4 linked regions of the Drosophila melanogaster genome follow. The protein of the gene in region 2 interacts with the protein of the main gene of each other region in a pairwise test. Each region holds a gene or a part of one and is shown on either strand. Other genes may lie near its edges.

Evidence for each region.
Region 1: the proteins of CG32086 (region 2) and Shmt interact in a two-hybrid assay, tested with the Drosophila melanogaster proteins (one large-scale study listed by BioGRID).
Region 3: the proteins of CG32086 (region 2) and CG15631 interact in a two-hybrid assay, tested with the Drosophila melanogaster proteins (one large-scale study listed by BioGRID).
Region 4: the proteins of CG32086 (region 2) and CG7352 interact in a two-hybrid assay, tested with the Drosophila melanogaster proteins (one large-scale study listed by BioGRID).

The regions. Positions count from the first base shown.
Region 1 is NC_004354.4:5,912,252-5,918,423, forward strand, and holds Shmt (serine hydroxymethyl transferase), read right to left. Parts: upstream 4,547-6,172; 5' UTR 4,300-4,546; intron 4,229-4,299; 5' UTR 4,219-4,228; coding exon 4,012-4,218; intron 3,047-4,011; exon of another isoform or gene 2,530-3,046; coding exon 2,330-2,529; exon of another isoform or gene 2,300-2,329; intron 2,236-2,299; exon of another isoform or gene 2,153-2,235; coding exon 946-2,152; 3' UTR 816-945; downstream 1-815. Other genes in the region: CG12236 (uncharacterized protein), read left to right, coding at 175-512.
Region 2 is NT_037436.4:11,581,844-11,586,038, forward strand, and holds CG32086 (uncharacterized protein), read right to left. Parts: upstream 2,222-4,195; 5' UTR 2,191-2,221; coding exon 1,667-2,190; intron 1,602-1,666; coding exon 1,425-1,601; intron 1,374-1,424; coding exon 599-1,373; 3' UTR 558-598; downstream 1-557. Other genes in the region: CG33269 (uncharacterized protein), read right to left, coding at 7-273; rt (rotated abdomen), read right to left, coding at 2,448-3,169, 3,229-4,008, 4,100-4,195.
Region 3 is NT_033779.5:4,731,661-4,736,182, reverse strand, and holds CG15631 (uncharacterized protein), read left to right. Parts: upstream 1-1,724; 5' UTR 1,725-1,756; coding exon 1,757-1,877; intron 1,878-1,928; coding exon 1,929-3,676; 3' UTR 3,677-3,770; downstream 3,771-4,522. Other genes in the region: fipi (factor of interpulse interval), read left to right, coding at 1-334, 416-636.
Region 4 is NT_033777.3:8,345,846-8,349,849, reverse strand, and holds CG7352 (uncharacterized protein), read right to left. Parts: upstream 2,132-4,004; 5' UTR 2,087-2,131; coding exon 1,226-2,086; intron 1,172-1,225; coding exon 632-1,171; 3' UTR 554-631; downstream 1-553. Other genes in the region: DppIII (dipeptidyl aminopeptidase III), read right to left, coding at 2,496-4,004.

The sequences.
Region 1 (6,172 bases), on a different chromosome or scaffold from region 2:
GAGAAAGAGAACGAGATAGCTGCAGTGTTGGCGAAAAAGAGCGGGAGAGAAAATAAAATCATGTAAACCATTTAAACGCAAATGAACTTTATTCTCAATGGGCGCGGCAAAAAAACCTTCTTGTGTCCAACGATCTCATTAAAAACCAACTCTCTCTCTCTCTCTCTCTTGCAGCCGCTTTGAAGCCAGGATCCGTGACGGTTGCCAGGTCGTCCAAGAGTGGAGCAACTGCATCCGCGCCACCGGCTGGCAGCGATGAGGAGAGCGTCCAGTATACCGGCCTCGCACCGCTGAACTGCAGCTTCTGCGGCAGGCCGCTCAAGTCGGTGAACGCGCTGCGGCGACACATCGCCTCCAGGCATTCGGAGATTCAGGGCAAGGAGCACGAGTGCTTCATCTGCATGAAGAGCTTCAAGACAAAGTGGTCCCTCTCCACACACAACTCGCGTTTTCATCGCGAAATGGGCTGTTCGACCAAGGGATTCACCAAGATCGAGTACAGCGATCACTGAGACAGCGGTATGCCATTAATGTATCATTTAGTACGCCCAACTATCTGCACATGACCACTGCTGCCTTCATGGCTGGCTATCATTTAGAGGAGTTGAATTGCAGGCAAGCAGGGCATTTGGAAACTAACACCATAGTTACCAAGGATACTTATGCCCATTGATTAGCAATTGTTGCAAAGATACTTAAATACATTTATTGAATTCCCTTGCATCATCTGAAACAAACCACTCATCTCGAATAACAAAGCATTGTTTCGTGTAAATACTAGATACTCCATTCCAAAAATAAAACTCCATAGCTATGGTATGTAAACTGAAATGCGTTTAATGGCTTAACTACTAATTCCCACTTATGATATTAACAAGCGGACTTTTCGAGGATGTAAATCGTAAGGCGAACAAAAGAAAAAGGGACAAACAAAGCAGGCAGCACCTACAGGGTCTCCAGGCCGGGCAGCGGGAATTTCCTGCTGAACTGGGCCACATTCTTGCGGATCTCGTCCACCTGGGCCTTGAGCTCCACATTCTCGGCCAGCGTCTTGTGGTAATCGGTTATCTTGGGACTGCCGGCCAGCTTGGCTGCCTGGACGCCAACCTTTAGGGCAGCATCGATGAAGGCCACCACCTGCTCGATGTCCTGCTCGGCAAGGCCGCGAGTGGTCAGGGCCGGTGTGCCCAGCCGGATGCCGGAGGGATTCATGGCGGACTTGTCGCCGGGCACAGTGTTCTTGTTGCACGCGATGCCCACCTCCTCGAGGATGTACTCGGCCTTGGCGCCGGTCAGGCCAGCCTTACGCACATCGACCAGCACCAAATGGACGTCGGTGCCGCCGGTGGCCACCTGATAGCCTCGCGAAATGAGGCCATCGCACAGGGCCTTGGCATTCTTGAGCACCTGCGTCTGGTAGGCCTTGAATTCGGGACTCTTGGCCTGCTTGAAGGCGGTGGCAATGCCAGCCACGGCGTTGTTGTGCGGACCACCCTGGAGTGATGGAAACACCGCCTGGTTGATGCGCTCCTCCAGATCGTAGAGTACCTTGTCTCCATTGGCCTTGGTGCTGCGCACGCCCTTGCGGAAGAAGATCACGCCGGCGCGCGGACCTCGCAGTGTCTTGTGCGTGGTGGTGGTCACAATGTCGGCCCATTCGAACGGCGATGGTATCAATCCCGCGGCCACAATGCCCGCCACATGGGCCATGTCGGCCATCAGGTAGGCGCCCACATCATCGCAAATCTGTCGGAAACGCGCATAGTCCAGCAGACGGGAGTAGCACGATATGCCAGCAATGATGATCTGCGGCCGGAAATTCTTCGCCGCCTCCGCCAACTTATCGTAATCGATGATGCCCGTCTCCGGGTTCACTTTGTACGGCATGCTCTCGAAGAAGATCGATGTGGCCGATATCTTCTTGGTGGGCGTGAAGAAACCGTGCGTCAAGTGACCGCCATCGGGCAGATCCAGGCCCATGATGCGATCGTGGGGCCGGCAGACGCCCGTGTAGACAGCCAGATTGGCCGGGGATCCGGAATAAGGCTGCACATTAACGCCCCACTTCTCATCGTCCAGGTTGAACAGCTCGCGTCCGCGTTGCTGGGCGAGCAGCTCTATGCGGTCGATGTACTCGTTGCCACCGTAGTACCTGCAAGTCAAAGCGATGACCAGGATTAGAGCAGGATCACCAGGGATTCACATGCCATAGAGCCAATAAGGTGATCTCTACCAGTAAGTATGATATCAGAACTAGTATAGAATCATTTAAAGATCCGACTATGATGTCTTCTTGCAGATCCGTGAGGAATCTTATATGTGCACCCACCTCTTGCCGGGATATCCCTCGGAGTACTTGTTGGTCAGGCAGGAGCTCAGGCTCTCGAGAACCGCCACCGAGGTGAAGTTCTCACTGGCGATCATCTCGAGTCCTTCGCGCTGGCGCTCCTTCTCCTTCTTGATCAGCTCGGCCAGCTCCGGATCGCCCTGTGCCAGCGGGGTTTGCAGCAGTTTCTGATCGGCCATATTCTGTTCGGATTTATATAGTATTGTATATTATATATATATATATATAGTAATTGGAATGCTGTGCAATGTGCGATGCGCTCGCCAAGACGATCGTTGAATATGTGCGGACCGTGGAAAATGAACGGCTGCCTGGTCAGCTTTATGCCATGTTTTTAATAACGCTTCGAAACAAAAATAATATTTATGTTCCCGCCGCCGATGGTTGCGAAAAGTTACAAACAAATACGGGTTCAATGGGTTCAAATAGCATTGGAAAAGTTCCGGCGATAAGGCGCAGCTATCGCCAAGGCGAAGATTACGCCTGGATGCACCATGGCAACCACTCGAGAGGCGCTCCCCCGATTCCCTATTCCCGATCCACGATTAGATTGGCCAAATACCAGGGAAACCAAGTGACTTGGGTGCAATAACACGCCCATGATCGAAAATGCGACCCCCCATGGATGGGAGAGCGCGTCTATTTGCGATCCGCTTATCGTCAAGTGATTATCATCCGTCTGGGTCACCAGTTCAAGTCGCCGGACGACGATAAGGACACTGCCCCCCCTTTGCAGCTGACGCACTTCGGAAAGATCGGGAAACGTACGTATATAGTCGAAATGGAGAATATTGGCAGAAAATGGACAAGTTTATATGTATGTAGCTTCCTCCAGCAAATTACGTATCTCTAGTACCATTTTGTTGTTCAACGTTTCCAGCTGCTAACTAATAATCCCTGGAAGATTCTTCTATTTTCAACGCAGAAATGAATTGGACACGCAAAATTTTAGCTGCAAAAACTGGAAACTGGTGATTCCCACTAAATTGAATGCTAATTTCTGGCCACAAGTTGAGTGCAAAATGCATATACATATGTATGTATGTATATTTATATACAAATCTGCCCACACGAATGGGAAATTCGATTTAATGGCCAATGCCAGATTCTTTTTTTTTTTTGCGTTATCAGTTTAAATATTTAGACAAGTGCAAACGAGAATGACAACAACAATGCTCGATAGGGCGCAAACAGCCGAGAAATTCGAGTAGGCCCAAAAACGAGTTTCAGGCCGAGGTAGCGAATGTGAATCAAAAAGATTCAAACTTGGCGCATGGCGACGTTTTGAATACACTAACAGTACACTGATACAAATACGGTACATATATGTACATATGCTATAAGATCTCAATTAAACTACACATGTACATAGGTACTTAACAATGATACTACTATAAACAACACTTTCAGCGGATCGATGGCATGCCATCCACGTAGGGATAGTGCAGTGTGGGAACACATGGCTGAATGAAACGCATGAAGCACATGGCGATTAGCCGGGCATGCCAGGAGCCGCAAATGGAAGCGAAACACAAACTTTCTGAGCACCGCGATCACTGCAAGAATTAAAGGCAATCGAAATGCGAGTCCCCCAAATGGTTCAATTAGCCACACTTTTTCCACCCTCCCCTTCACTTTGCCTGGGACTTTCCCGGCGAACTCACCTTCAAAGTGCTCTGCTTGGAGTCCGAATATCGTCTGATCGCCGGTAAGAATGGCGTTGGTGATGGTTGTTTTTTGGCGGCGATGCGAGTTAAAGCTCCGCTAAGCTTTCCAGTCTCGAAGTTAACCGGGTTGCCAACTTTGGTGTTCAGGTCCCGACTAAGGCAAAACCGAAGCTTTTGTGTCAGTGTAGAGCGCGCCCGCTGCATGTCTTTGTAACTGTAATAAGCAGAATTTTATAGATTTTAGTGGATGTTTTTCAACAATCCTTGGTAATTATTAGTACTCACACGGCTGCGTTCGAATCGGAACTGCCGCAAAGTGAGAAGAGTCGCCGGCGCTGAGATGACGCCGCCGCTGGCTGATAAGCGATAACGATAACCCGTGACCCCTGACCGACCCAGTGATAAGTCCGCCCAAGAGTTCCGACCCGATCGCTGCGCTATCTCTTGGCCAGCATCCAAAATATTCGACACCGAAAATACAACGAAGCGAAAACACGCGTTACGTTGGTAAACAACATTTACCAGGCTAACAGATATCAGCTGTTTGGGTAGTTGGATCGCTGGATTTAGAAGCTTTTGGCGCCGTCTGGCAACGCTAGCGATAGCTACCAATTCTTGTATAAATATTTACAATTTGTGGAAATGTTAAGCGTGTGTGCCTCTTCAATTAATATTAACACTTTATTTTATATCATAATATGCGTTTCTCTCAATCCCTTAAAATGTACGTAGTTATCAAACGCGCGATAACGTTAAGGCATTTAAAGTACCCGCCAAATTGCTGGTACTGCGAACCGGTTTAAGTTGCCAACCGATTGGGAGAGTGCAACATCTCTCTCCAGCAACATTGCTGCCAGCCAAAGTCTATATAAGCAACAACGAAAGTTCAATTCTTTTCACTCAAAAATCCGTCTCCTCCGCGGTACGTTTCACTTCGCTGCGCCGCTAAAAGAAAATTCCTGGAAAATATTAACAAACACATGAGCCTAACATTCTTAACAATTCCAAAACAGAACATTTATTTTTGGTGAATTTCCTGACAATTTAGTGGTTAGTGTTTAATGTTAAAACATTGCTGTGCGCATTTACCGTTATCCGCTCGCAAGGCAAAAGAAAAAGCGCGCGTTTTGAATTCGCTGTTTCGCATTATTTTTTTTTATGTTAAAAAACAAAATATAGAAATGAAACAAAAATGGCAAGCCAGAAATTAAATGAATGAATGAATTTTTTTCGACACAATTCTGCTGCGTGTGCAATTCGATTCGAATAACAAAACAAAAAGCATAAAGGAAAAGTAAAAGAAATTCGAGGGGGGAAAAAAACGCCAAAAGAAAAGATAGCGCGAAAAGTCATAAAGAAAAGGTGAGAAAACAAATTATTTATTTCATGTGCTAAAAAGACACGCAAAACGAACGTCGTTTTATTTTTAGCCAAACAAAAGTTGTGTGTTATTTGTGCGATTTTCTGTTTTTGTTCGCCGCTCTCCCCTTGTTTTTTATCGTTTTTGTTTTTCAATCATATATTTTGTGCTTCTTTTTTTTTTTGCATGTTTTGTTTTGTGCGTGCTCTTTTTTGTTGAATGCAAAAAGGCGAACAAAATATTACGATAAAAATTCCGTTGTTCTCGCCGAAGGTTTCCGGGTTTGTTGACTTTGCCAGCTGAATATTCGAAATTGACATAAATAATAATCGCATGCAATTATTGTAAACAATTGTTTTTCGCTCAGGAAACGATTGGCGCTTTTTCTTCGCTTATTGTAATTGTTGCTGCCAACTAATCGCCAAGATAAAAATGAAAAAAGAGGGGAAAAAACCTACAGAGTTGCAAAAAATTAATTAAATTCATAGGCCAGTAATTTACATTTTTTGTGTGATTTTTTCGCTTTTTTTGTAGTTTTTGTCTAAGCTTGATAATTAGGGTTTTTTGCGGGCTGTTGTTTATCTGCTACAGTTGTACCCAAAATAATAGTCGATGCTTAAAAATGTTTACAAAAAATGTAAATTTTTGTGGCGCTTCAAATAGCTTTACTACGATTTCGAACACAATTGTATATCTTAAGTTTTGGGGCTATTTTTTGTGCTGGTTTTAAATTTTGGTTTATCGGTTTTTGTTATTTCTGTGGCTTTTAGTTTTCTTCTTCACCTGTTTAGCCTTATT
Region 2 (4,195 bases):
TGCAGCTTAATTTTTCCTGTGGGTCACAATCACGATGGTCTTGTGGCACCTCTTTGGGTTCTTGCACTTCCGCTTGGGAATGCGGGTGTGGCACCAGTTGTTGCCCCTCCAACAAAGCTTTTTGTGAGTGGAAGCGGCCGTTGTTGTTGTTGTGGTCGATGCTGCAGTGGTGGTTGTTGTTGTGGTGGTGGCATCAGTTGTTGTTGTATTACTAGAAGATGAAGCCACCTGGATGGCCAGGGCAATAAGGGCAACCACGAACAGGTATTTCATCTTTGATGTTATTGTTGGTTATGTTGGTTAGCTGGCAAAGCAATTGATATTAGACTTGGCTTAAAAGCGGCGAAGGGCTGTTGTGATCAACTGATGTTGAAGTCACCCCATTTATAGTTCTCCAGTAATTTCCGGATTTAGAAAACTAGTATTAATTTGATTTCCTAACTGATCACAGAAATTTAAATATTTGGTCGTAAGACACCAGCTTTGAAAGTTTAATGCTGTAGCAAATATTTGCTTCACACAAATGACAGCCCAAACTTATGCTATAGTTTATTTTTGTTTATTATATATTTGTTTGTCATGGTAAATTGTCTAAGTATTATGTAGATATGGCCTCTATTTTGTTGTGCATTTCAGTACGAAACTGCGTGACGGATGCCATTTCATTTTGGTCCTTGAACTTAGTCATTAGACTCTGCCAAATAGCTTCGAATTTATCAGTTGTTACGAGACTTCTAAAGATACGTTCGATTTCCGCTTTGGGCCGCAAACAGGTGAAATCACTGTGAGTAAGGCCACGTAAAATGGCCAAATCCGGTGTTATAAGATCCTTGGCAGTTGTTTTATTCCCTTCGAGATTCTGGCTAATTGCTCCCGTATTATCCTTTGACTTGTTTTGAAGATCGGCGCAGAGCAAACGATATGTGGTGTCCAGACAACTAACATCGGATACATTGGTCAAGTTTCCCGTTTTCGGCAGAGAATTCTGAATCGAGAGAAGTCGAAAGAAATCTACATAATTCACCCGCTCCGTGGCACAGCCCTCGTCCACAATCAGCCGAAAATTGGACAAGGCCAGACGGATTTTTTGCGCATCCAGACGGATGTGAAAACTTCTGAAAATTTCCAAGATGCGTGCCAGTGGCAAGTGACCCGTTCCATCCGTGTCACTCCTCTCCAGCACTGAATTTAGTGCGTACTTGTGAAATTCCAGCTGGTTCCTCAAACTATGACGTTTTTTGTTCAAATAGCGTATGGCATCTAGTAGCCGGTTGGTTTTGTAGCAGGGTTCAATATTATTTAGCAGCATCTTCACATCGCCATTGCTGCGCAGAGGAACACCGAAAGTTATGTCGGGCACCGCAAAAGTGTACCTACAGACAGTCTAAAACTATTAATCAAAATCTATATCTATCTATACTTACTTTTTGTTTCGCATTCCGAGGGGTGCCTCGTTTCGATCCATAAAGTCCACTTGCGCCTTGCCAATAACCTTCAGGTGGTTCTCACCTTCCTCCAGACATCGCTTCACTTTCAGTCCAAAATCGCCGTGAGTATGTATATCTCCACAAGGTGATTTTCGATCAAATGGTTGGGCATATCTAAAAAATATTTAAGACGTTCATTAAATATGCACCATTGCATTTGTAGTGACCAATAGCTTGACCTGCGGTTAACCTGCTCCGAAGGAAAGTAGTGATTGTGGCTGATGATGTACTTGTCGTGGAAAGCCTCGTACTCCTTATTAACTTGCTCCGCCGACTTGGCCGGCAATATGACGTCGTAGAGACATTCATTTTGTGATTGACTCGATGGACTTCCGAAGGTTTGGCTTATATTGGTCACGTCTTCCGGTTTGGAGTACGTTTTCTTGACCCCACCCAAAGTGGCCTTTTTGAAGTACATTTCCTCGTAGAACTTCTCCTTGAAGGACATAAAGCGCGACTTTTGCAACTCGCTGGTGAGCAAATCCCGGATGCTGCTGCTGGGTTGAACGGAACCGGCTGGGAACTTCTGGGATTTTTTATTGATCTGCCCGTAATTGCGCCTAACTAGACTCTCAGCCAATTCTTCTGGATTGCTAATACTAAGACAAACTTTTACACCTTCCGCTCCATCTAATCCACTGGTGGACAATCCTGCAGTCGGTATATTTGCATTTCTGTCTATAAAGTGTCCCTTATTGGCCATGTTTATGAGTGTATTTATGTATATAGTGTGGGTTCAAGTGTTTTCAGAGTGCTTATACATATTACTGAGTGATAAAGCAGAACATCTTAAATAAATAAATAATTGTATTTATTGGTCTTGTAAATGAGTATGTTTACATGTCAAATAATTTATGGCTTAGTATTAGTTCAACTTTAGCTAGTCGTCTAGTCTATTGTACATGGTACTAGTACATCATTGCACGTCTCTCTCTGGCCGCGGAGATGGCATCTGTTTTTTCAGTACAGGTGGTGGTTCTTGTGCAGGACAAAGTCCCAGGTATCCTTCCATCGAAGACTGCGAACCTCATTTAAAGTCATTTTTCTCGCACCATAACTGAATGGTATAAACTTTGAGAAAATGCTAAGCACGCCCACCAGCCACAGGATTAGCATGAGGCGATAAAGGCGCACCAGATGGACACCACGTCCGGTGCAGAAGCGCCTGAGCAGATAGTCCAAATGCTCCACGACAAAGCACAATAAAAGTAACTTAAACACAAAGGCTGGCAAGTAATTGTGCAGGAAGAGTGTACGATCCACACAAAAATACGGAATATAGTGCATCACGTAGCCCATAAAAAAGGTGTCACCAGCTAATACGAATCGCTGCCACTCTTGCTCCGAAATATCAAAGCAAAGACGTTGCCGCCGCATCGCGTAGAAGGCGAGTAATCCGGCATAGACAAGTATTCCCATGGTGGCTGTGTACCAGAGTAGTATGTTTCCCAGCAAATAGATCTGCGCACTCGACTGTGAGTCCAACCAATAAGCGATGCCCTTGTCCATTAGCGGCCACTCGTGCGGCATCGAGCTGTACATGTGATTTGGCACTGACTTCGTTTGGAACAGCATCTTGGATTGTAGCTCCAGTAGCTTGGCCCAGAACGAGATGCGCGTCCGCTTTGTGGGTATCATCTCGGCAGTTAGCATCTGGCGCTCTCGCTCCCGATGATCCTCAGCTATAAAGGGTTGTAAATGAGGATAACGTATTTCTTCAAGTATCTCGAAGAGGACTTACTCTGTGTATAGCGGTGCTCCTCAACATTCCAAATGGCATCCTCATGTATTGCCTTTTCACGATCCGCCACCACCTCGTGCTGATTGAAACCCCATTCGGGAAGTTGGCGCCCACTGAACTTCAAGGAGGCTTCTGTGGACACGTGAACGAGGCGGACCTCCGACTTGATGGCATGCCAAATGTCACCTTCGGAATCGCGATTCAGAATCTCCACGCGCCACAACAGTTCACCGGCCATTTTGATCTCGTAATCTATGTAGCAGCTGACTTCTTGGCACTGCGGCGTCATTGCCGCAGCCACATCGTGTGAGTTCAGAGCTCGGCTCGTAATTCCATGGACCAACTGAATAATTTCACCGTGCCGAATGATATCCGGCTCATCACCCACCACCAGGTTCTCCTTTGTTGGTCGCTTAACCAGCCACCAGTTGTTCACATCCTTGAAGGAGTAGCAGGTGACCTGCTGCTGGTGGGAGGAGCCTCTCTTGTCCGGATACCGCACCGGATAGACAGCTGCATGCGAGTGCAGCCAACAGGTGCGTCCGTGGGTGTGTCGTAGTGTGATTTGGGATCCATGAACCACTGCCAATGGCTGTCCTTTTGTGATCGATGCCAATCCTCCATCTAACGAGGCCTGAAACGCGCTAGTCATGATGCTATCATGCGGTCCAGCCCGGTGCAGCGTCTTGAAGTGGATATAGAAGACTCCCAAGTAGACCGCCAATGGAATTCCAACAAAGATTAACAGGCGACTTATGGCATGCATCCATAGCTGGCGATCTTGAAAAAAATGGTTTTATTTTGATTTATTCAATCTCTATTATTATATCGTAAATCGTATTTGTAAATCTCAGAAAAAAAGGTATCTTACCGGTGAGACCGGCGTCGTAGAGCAGTTGCCACAGGTGTCGACACAGCAAATAAAAGGCTAGCCCCAGTGCCAAGAATCCGACGTACTTGACGGTTC
Region 3 (4,522 bases), on a different chromosome or scaffold from region 2:
ATCCAGTCGGACAGCTACTGGTCGAGTCTGACCATCCATGTGCTGAACACCAGCGCCTTCGATAACTACAGGTGTCGCGCCAGGAACGATCTGGGCACCATCGAGAGGACCACGCGACTGGAGCAGGGCGAGAAGCCTCCGTCACCGGCCAACTTCCAGCTGCGTGGCTTCAATTCAAACACCTTCGATGTGGTACTGAGTGCTCCACGAGGTCCTCCCGACAGTCCCATGGGGGTCAATGGATTCCGCATCGAGTACATGACCGAAATGGAGTTCAAGACGGATGCGGGCAAGTGGACCAATGCCAGGCGGAAGGATTATGCTTTCGAGGAGGGTGAGTTAAGCTTTAAAATATAGATAAAAGCTATCTCTTGCTACATTCGATATGTAAACTCATGGATTCTATAAATTTTAGGGGCTACCTTCCTTCTGACGAACTTAGAGCCAGATACCGTTTACCTGGTGCGGGCCGCATCACGGAATCTGGCCGGATTCAGTGACTTCACCAAGGTGGAGAAGTACAAGACACTTTCGCTGGAGCCCCGAGTCTCTTCGGGAGTCAAGGAGACCAGAAATATGTGCGTGGAACTGGGTGTGATGACACTAATGGTCCTGATGCGGCCGTTCCTGGGATGAATCTGAATCTGCAGGCGGATGAAGGATGACAGGTGATGCACCTAGCGGAACCGGAAACCAGGACCTTAAACCCCATGTGCTTTGTATAGCTATAAGGCGTGTCCACACGGCGACACTTTTCTGTCTGATTTGCTCGGTCTAAGTAATTTGGTTTACTCTTAAGTTCAGTGCGTTAATGTAACCTTAAAGAATGTTAAGTTTAGTAAGAATTTCTATTACGCTTTCAGTGCTTCGATTTGAATGATATTAGTGGATCACTTATAGGATATTTATATGTATTTAAACAAATCCTCATAGCAGTTAGACATAATCAATGGTTTGCTGGCCTTGGCTCCCCAAAATTATGCAAAACTAAAGCTTTGCTCAACATTCCAGTATATATTTTAACGTGAATTGGAAGTTTTCCCTGCAACTTTGCATCTCGTTGCCAAATCTTTAAGATATAATCAGACAGTTGCCAAAACTAAAAAAGTACATTAGTTTAGTATATACAAACAAATGCCTTCCGTCATTCGATATAACTAACAATCTTTTCAACTAAACTACATAAATATATAAAGTTTTGGAATACCATTAAACGCATCAAACAATTAATATAAATATCAAGGAGCTTAACGACAGCATTTAAAAGTTTTATATGTCACATAATTCTTTTTAATAGTCAAAGGCCAATAAAAACAATTCCACGTGTAAATTTCCAGGGCTAAAAAATACAGAATAAAATATAGATGTAAAAATAAGTTTAAACACTTTGCCACAATACAAATATTATGCAAACGAGAGAAAAACAAACACATATTTTACAAAAGTTATTTATATTCAATAAAATTAAATGTATTTCAGCTAAAGTGGTGTAAAATCTAAACCATAATACCTAGCCAAAGATTTAATATTTTCCAACTTTCGTTTGCCAATTGTGTGTGAGCCATAATAAAAGTTATGAATATCAAACCAGAACCGTTTGTGCTTCGATTTATTGATGTATAAATCAGTAAGTAAATAGAATATAAATATTTTAGTAAAAAAAATGCCTATTAGTTGGCGTAGCTTTTAGTGTTAATTTCTAATATTCGGCTCAAAAATTATATACAAAAAGTACAAAGCATAAAAATGTTGCAAGATGGAAAAACGAGCTCATTATTTTAGTCAGAACTCGAACCAGCCGCTAAATGCAGACTTTAATTTAGAAGATCAAATTATGAGGAATTCACAAAAAATATATAGGTTTAGCTCAGATCCGGGTGAGTAAAGCTTGCTAATAATGAATACATAAAATTAAAATTTTTATTTAGAATACAATAGAGTATATCAGCGGTATATGGCAACCCTCATCCGTGTGCAAAATTCCATGCATAGAAGATTTCAATCCAGGACCACTCTAAAATTGCAGGGCTCACATAGCCGCCTCTCAGCTGGCGGATTCTGTACGAAATTCAATAAATCCGGAAAGGAGAAAAAAAATAAACACAACCAAAGCCACGACCAGCAAAATGATACCTGTAAGCCTTCTTGCTCGAAGCCAACTGATTGCGCCACAAATGATGAACCTTCCTGCCGGGGCAATAAAAGTGCATCCGATAAAAGCCTGAAAATCACCCGCTGTTCCATACCGGAACCCAATAAGTCCCCACGCAGCGATGGACACGAGAACCAGCGTCAGAGCTGTGTGTCCTTTGAAGAGCCCGCGGCCAAGGATATTCCCACATTTGATCTGCACTTCCGGGACACCTCATGTACGGTGTCCCATGATTCCAGCCTGTCCTCCATCAACGTTTGCTATAGCCAAGAGCAACAGAGGGATATTACAAAATCTTGTCCCGCTCAAACGCCGAAAGAGCCAGCCCCTCAACGGATGAAGGAGTCGTCCAGGAATCAAACAGCTTCACGATTTTGCATGAGACCGTTGATTGTGGTGCCCACAGGTGGAGGAATTAAACAATTAAAGAAGGATCAATCTGAGAATTCCAAAATAGTTAGCACAGATCACTCCAAGTCGAAGTCTGCACACCACACGAATAGTTCTCGAAAATCCACAAAGAAGCAAGCAAAGAGTCACCGCCTTATTAAGTCTCACAGCTCTAAAGATTCTTTAGCAAATCGTGGTCAGCCTACAGTGGAAATTGAAGAAACTTTTCCAAATTCAATCTGCACTTCCGATACCCACGAATCCTGTGACTGCAAGAGCGAAGACCAATTTTGCTGTTACTATATACCAGAGGAGCCCCATTGCTCGCAGAATCCACCGCCATGTTCCAACTGCCCGGCTATATGCGACTTATCCAACCAATTGGAGGAGATGAATCGACGTTTGGAGGGCCTTCACAGCCAGGAACTCTGCGATATCCGCACGCAGGTGAATAGCCTCAATGCCAATGTTCAGCATTTGGCCAAAGAGTGCATTCAGAAAATGGATGGCGCCAAAAGGCTGGACAAGAAGACCTCGAGCACCTGTCAGTTCTGTCATGGGCAGTGTTTGAAAATACTTGATAGCTTCTATAGGCAACTGCTGGACTCACTTTGGGATCGTTCCCTGACAGACATAGTAATATCCATATTTCTGCGAGCAGACAATGTCTATCACGTAAATGTGCGGGATCTGAGCTCGGACTGTTCCCTTGGTTGTTACCTGGTCACTGATGCGGCCATAGAGGAGGCCATCGAGTTGGGAGTTTTTCAGAACATACTCACATTTAGTGTAATTGATGTGCGGAATACCATCAAGTCGAAGAACTGCGACTTGGGCATCGTCTTTGAATACCATCATTCAAAGCGGCAGACCGGTGGTTGCGATTCTCCACTTCGTGGCTCCTGCATGGTGGGCAAGGAATATATCGGCAGGGTTCTCGGACTTCCTTTGGAGCAGCTGAAATACCTGTACTCCGTTCCGCGATCCTATACCAAAATCACTGAGCACGACACTAGGAGTGTAACTGGAAGTCAGTTACACTCAGTTTCCACTCAAACGACTTTGATGGATATGCAGACAGAAATGAAGATAAGATATAAGAAAAGTGCCCGTACAAAACTACCATCAGTTTGAAAGATATCAGTTTTAATAATATATAGCAAAAGTTATAGTTAAGCCAACTTACAACGTATTTCTAAAATTTTGTAATAAAAGACCTTATAATTTTAAAAGCCAGCATAGATCAAAGGAAATTCTGATTAGTTTCAATAAAGCTAACCGTACAGGTTGCACTGCCATTTGCACAACCGACGGACCGCATGGCAAATGGTTCATTTGTTCAACGGGCGCGGTTTGTCAATCAGCCACATCAACTGGGGCTCAACTAAGGACCCGCATATGCGCTTTTGGCCGGAATGCCTTTTTGGGGGGGCTTTTTGGGGCAAGGAATAGGAGCACTGCGTTGACAGCCGCATAAATCAGTTGAATGCCAAACGTCGGATTCGGATGCAGATGCGGATGCTGTTGCGTATGCGGATATGCATTGCGACTGGGCGCCATATTGTGCGTGGTGACTTTTATTGCCCGACCGCGCGTTAAATATTTTTCTGTCTACACACATGGACATGGATGCTCCGCTCATCATTGACATTTACCATTGGCCATCGTCATTCGCATCACAATGAGCAGCAATGAGCGTGGCCGTTATTTGGGTGCGGTTCAAAACAATCAGCCCGGCTATTTAATTTCCAAATGAGAGGAGCATTATTCGGCACAGCATGAGTTCAAATCACTTGCCCCATGTGCCCGCCAGCTTTCAATATCAACACTTTAAGTCAACGATTTGAGCGACGACAGCTGAATCAGCAGCGAAGAGAAGAGGACAAATAAATACTGCGAAAAAAAATGCAGAATTCGGCCATTTTAGGCCTGCAACCGCCAATCCGCCAATTCACCAATCCACCGGCAAGTGGGTCAGTT
Region 4 (4,004 bases), on a different chromosome or scaffold from region 2:
AGACCAGCGTCAGCTAGCACTCGCGATAGTATCGATAGTCCGATAATGGGCGTGTTAGGGATGTCTTGGTTTCGATATTGCTCGGTACCACTGATTTCGAAAAGAAGCTATTCACACACACGAGCTTCTGCACCAGCGACAAGCTTCCGCAGCACTGGCTTTATCTTTTATAAAAAGATATATATTGGTATACCAGTCAAAATAAACGTATATCTAAACATGTATTTTATGAAAGTTATGTTTTTTGAATGCAATTAGTAAGATGCAAAGAAATAGTTAGTAGTCAATTTGATATAAAATTTCAATTACAGATAACATTTATAGTATTTTTGATTGGACTGCATAAACACTTTCGCGGCAATTATGAAGCGGTTATTAGGCCGAGCTTTCAAAATAATATTAAACCAAATTGAAACAGCAGATGCGCATTCTGTGAGAATATCCTTTCAATCGAGGTTTCCAATCGAGCAAAACAACGAACTGGCAGCACAGGCGACGGTCTGGCATCTTCGCTAGCCTAAATGATACACGTCACGTAGACACAACGGCGCTTAATTTTAAATAATTTATTTTTGGAAGCCAAAAATAAACTTGACCGTCTTAGAATTACAATTTGGAACTATGCCACTGACTAGGAATCGCCACCGCCCCGTGCCTGAGCGTCAATTAGGCAGAAATGCTCCCTATCCGTAGACTTAAGGACATGCTTTGGTAGATATCGAAGCACGGAGGAAGGAACCTGGCTCAACATGGCCAAACGCTCCTGTTTGATGCGTTCCTCTTGCTCGGCATCGATCTTGGCCTTCATGTCAAAGTACTGAACATTTTCAGCGGTGGCCTCCGCCCGCTTCCGGTGATTATCCTCAATCATAGCAAGCAAGGAGGCTCCATGGGCCCGGCGTCTGCGATATTCATCCAGTTGCTTTTCGGAATTCTGGTTGATTGTATCCGGCGCCTCCTCCTGCCGCGTAGCCATCTCCGCCCGCTTCATCTGCATTTCGGCCATCTTACGATGCTTCACCTCCTGTCGATAGCGATCCAACTCCTGTCTGGTGCGCTGGCGAGACATCTGCTCCTGCTGCATCTGTTGGCGATAGCGCTCGTCACTCTTGGCCGTGTACTCCGCCTCCAACAGATCCAGCAGCAGATTGTCGCGATGCCGTTTTTTGTTCTGCAATAAGAGTTAGCTTTATTGATTGAATCGAAAAACCGCTTCAAGACTTACTTCGATTTCTAGGACTTGCTGGCCCAAACGAATGCTGATTTCTTGTTTTTTGCGTTGAATCTCCTGGCGTTCAGCCTCCAGCTGGAGTTTCCTGCGCTCCATGTCACTTTGCTTCTGGACTAAGTCACTCAACTCCTGGTTGTATTGAGCTCGCTGCCATTCTCTGAGTTCCTGGTTCTCCTTGATGGACCGCAGCATGTCCTGTCGCTTTTGTAGTTTTTTTCTCTGCGCCTCCAGCTCCTGGGCTCGATCCTCTTCCTGGATTTGCTTCTGCATCAGAAGGCTCAGCTCCCGGTCATTCATCACCTGAGCGTGCTCTTGCAGGCGCCGTCGGCGGTTCTCCTCCATTTGTTCAGCCAAGGACTCCCTAAGGCGGCGTTGTTCCTCCTTAAGAGCCACTTCCTTCTCACGTTGCCTGACCTCCAGCAGACAGCGCTCTTGGGACACTTCCGCGGCTTCCAATTTGATGTCTAGCTGTCGACGACGTTTTTTCTCCTCCAAATTCTCGGCTATATCCCTGGAAATGGCGGCTAGGCGCAGCTGCTCCGCCAAGTCGCGCAGTTCCTCGCAATCCCGCCGCAATTGCTGGCGACGTTTCCTCTCCACAAACTCCGCACGCTTAAGATCTTGCATTTCCTGCGTCATCGCTGCCTCCTCGATGAAGTCGCGGGTTATGGGACTCACTTTGGAAAGCTCCTGGCTGCGGCTCACCTCCTCCAGGTCGTACTGCAATTTTCGGAACAGCTGTGAGCTGAAAAAGTCGTGCTCCTTGCGCAATGAATGAGGCACCTGGAATAGCGGCTGTCCGATGTTGATAGTGCCACCTTCCTTGTGGTTACCACGATTTCTACCGGTTGCCATGGTGGTCAAAACAATGCAAACAGAAATGGAAACGAGAAACAAAATAAAAAAAAAAAAACCAATATTTATCGACTGGCTACTATGAAAACATTCAATGAACAAATTGTAGTATTTGATTTTATATTTACATTCTTAATTGTGGAGCTATTATGAGCAATATACATTTGGTCGCAATATATGTATGTACATACAAGCAATTAAATTCAGGTCCTTTGTCAATATTTTCGGTGAATGGCAAAAACGATCTTAAAATCACCATTCACTACGAAAGTTTTACTATAAAAGCAATTTAAAATTTAAAATTGTTGGTCATTAGATGACTATATATATTTTTATATATTTTTTTTCAAAATCATAGTTAACAAATTGAATTGATAATGAAGGCGAAAATGTTAAATGCGAAATGTTCTCAGTTGTTGAAGGCAGTCGGGAAATACTTCTTGTCCTTCTCCACGATGCTCTCCAGAAGATCGTCGATGTCAGTGTTGGGGTAGCGCTCCACCCATGACTGGATGTACCCCTCGTGGGTGGGCTCGTAGGTCTTCAGCTGGACCTTTTGGTCCTGGCCGATCGCCGTGTTGGCCTGGACGAGAATCATACGCGGCTTCTTGTGCGCCAGGCAGATATCCCGCCACTTGGCCCACGGATGCGATCCGCTCTCGTCGACCTTCGAGTAGTGTTCGTACATCTTGGAAGCTGCCTCGATGTCGGCGGTGGATTTGTACACCTGCAGCTTGGTCAGGAAATCGCCCAGCGCCTTCCTGCCCACGGTATCGATCTTGCTGCGATCCACCGTCAGCAAAAGGTTTTTACCCTTTTCGGTTTCCTCGACCTTAACGAGTCCTTCGCCTGCCTCCAGCAGCACCTTCATGATCACGAAACGAGCGCGAGAGTGCGCCTGGAGCCACAGCTTGGACTTCGGGTTGAACATTTCCAGAGCCACACCCATGCCGTTCCAGATGAGACTCAGCCAGTTGACATAGATGATGTTGTCCTGCTCGGCTTTGTCCTTGAAGCCAAAGATCTCCAGGATGTCACGCTGCAGGGAGAGATACAAGCCCACCGCCTCGGCGCGGCATTCCTCGTACGAGGAACCAATTGCTCCGAACTTGGTGTCGTAAGTTTCTCCAGGAAGATACCACTTGGTGATGGGTTCACCGGTGACCAGGTTCTTAGTGTTCTCCTTGTCAAAGTTGTACACACCATTTTCGTCGATGCGGAATAGCTTGCCACTACCATGGCCTAGGAGTTCATGGAGGCCCACTTGCACCTCAAAAGCCTTCACCTTGTACTCTTTCATCAGAGTTTGATCCTCCTCGGTGAGGAAAGGAATGGGATCCTTGCGGTTGATGTTGGCCAGCACATTGCCCAGCGAGACGTTCTTGAAGCCTTCATCCTGGCGGATTTCGTCGTAATTGGGAATATTGATGCCCGCTGGTACTCCGCTGCCGGCAAATGTGAGGACATCCAGGGATGTGAAGTCTGGCTTCAGGTAAGAGTCCTTCTCGTAAGGCTCCGTCCAGGGCAGGTACTCTATTAGTTTCTCGGCGCGGTTCACCAGCTCGGAGAATTTGGCCGAGCTCTCCTTGTTCACCATGGCCACGAAGCCCTCGAATTCAGCCCGACCTCCAGCAGGATCCCTGTATGTCTCAATGAAACCAATGTAGGTCTCGATGACAGGTCCCTTGTCCTTGATCCACCAACGCGATCCGTTCTTGTGCTCGTCCAGCGAGCCCTGTTCAAAGGATCGGACATAGTGCTCGATCATCTTGGACTCGTTTTCATTGGCTGCGTATTTCTGGGCCTGCAGCAGATGCTGGTTGACGCGCTGAAGCAGCTTCTGGTAATCACCGCGTGTCACCCTAAACTTGTTGCCATTATACTCTTCCAGCGGAAGTGTGATGCCGTCCTGCGTGGA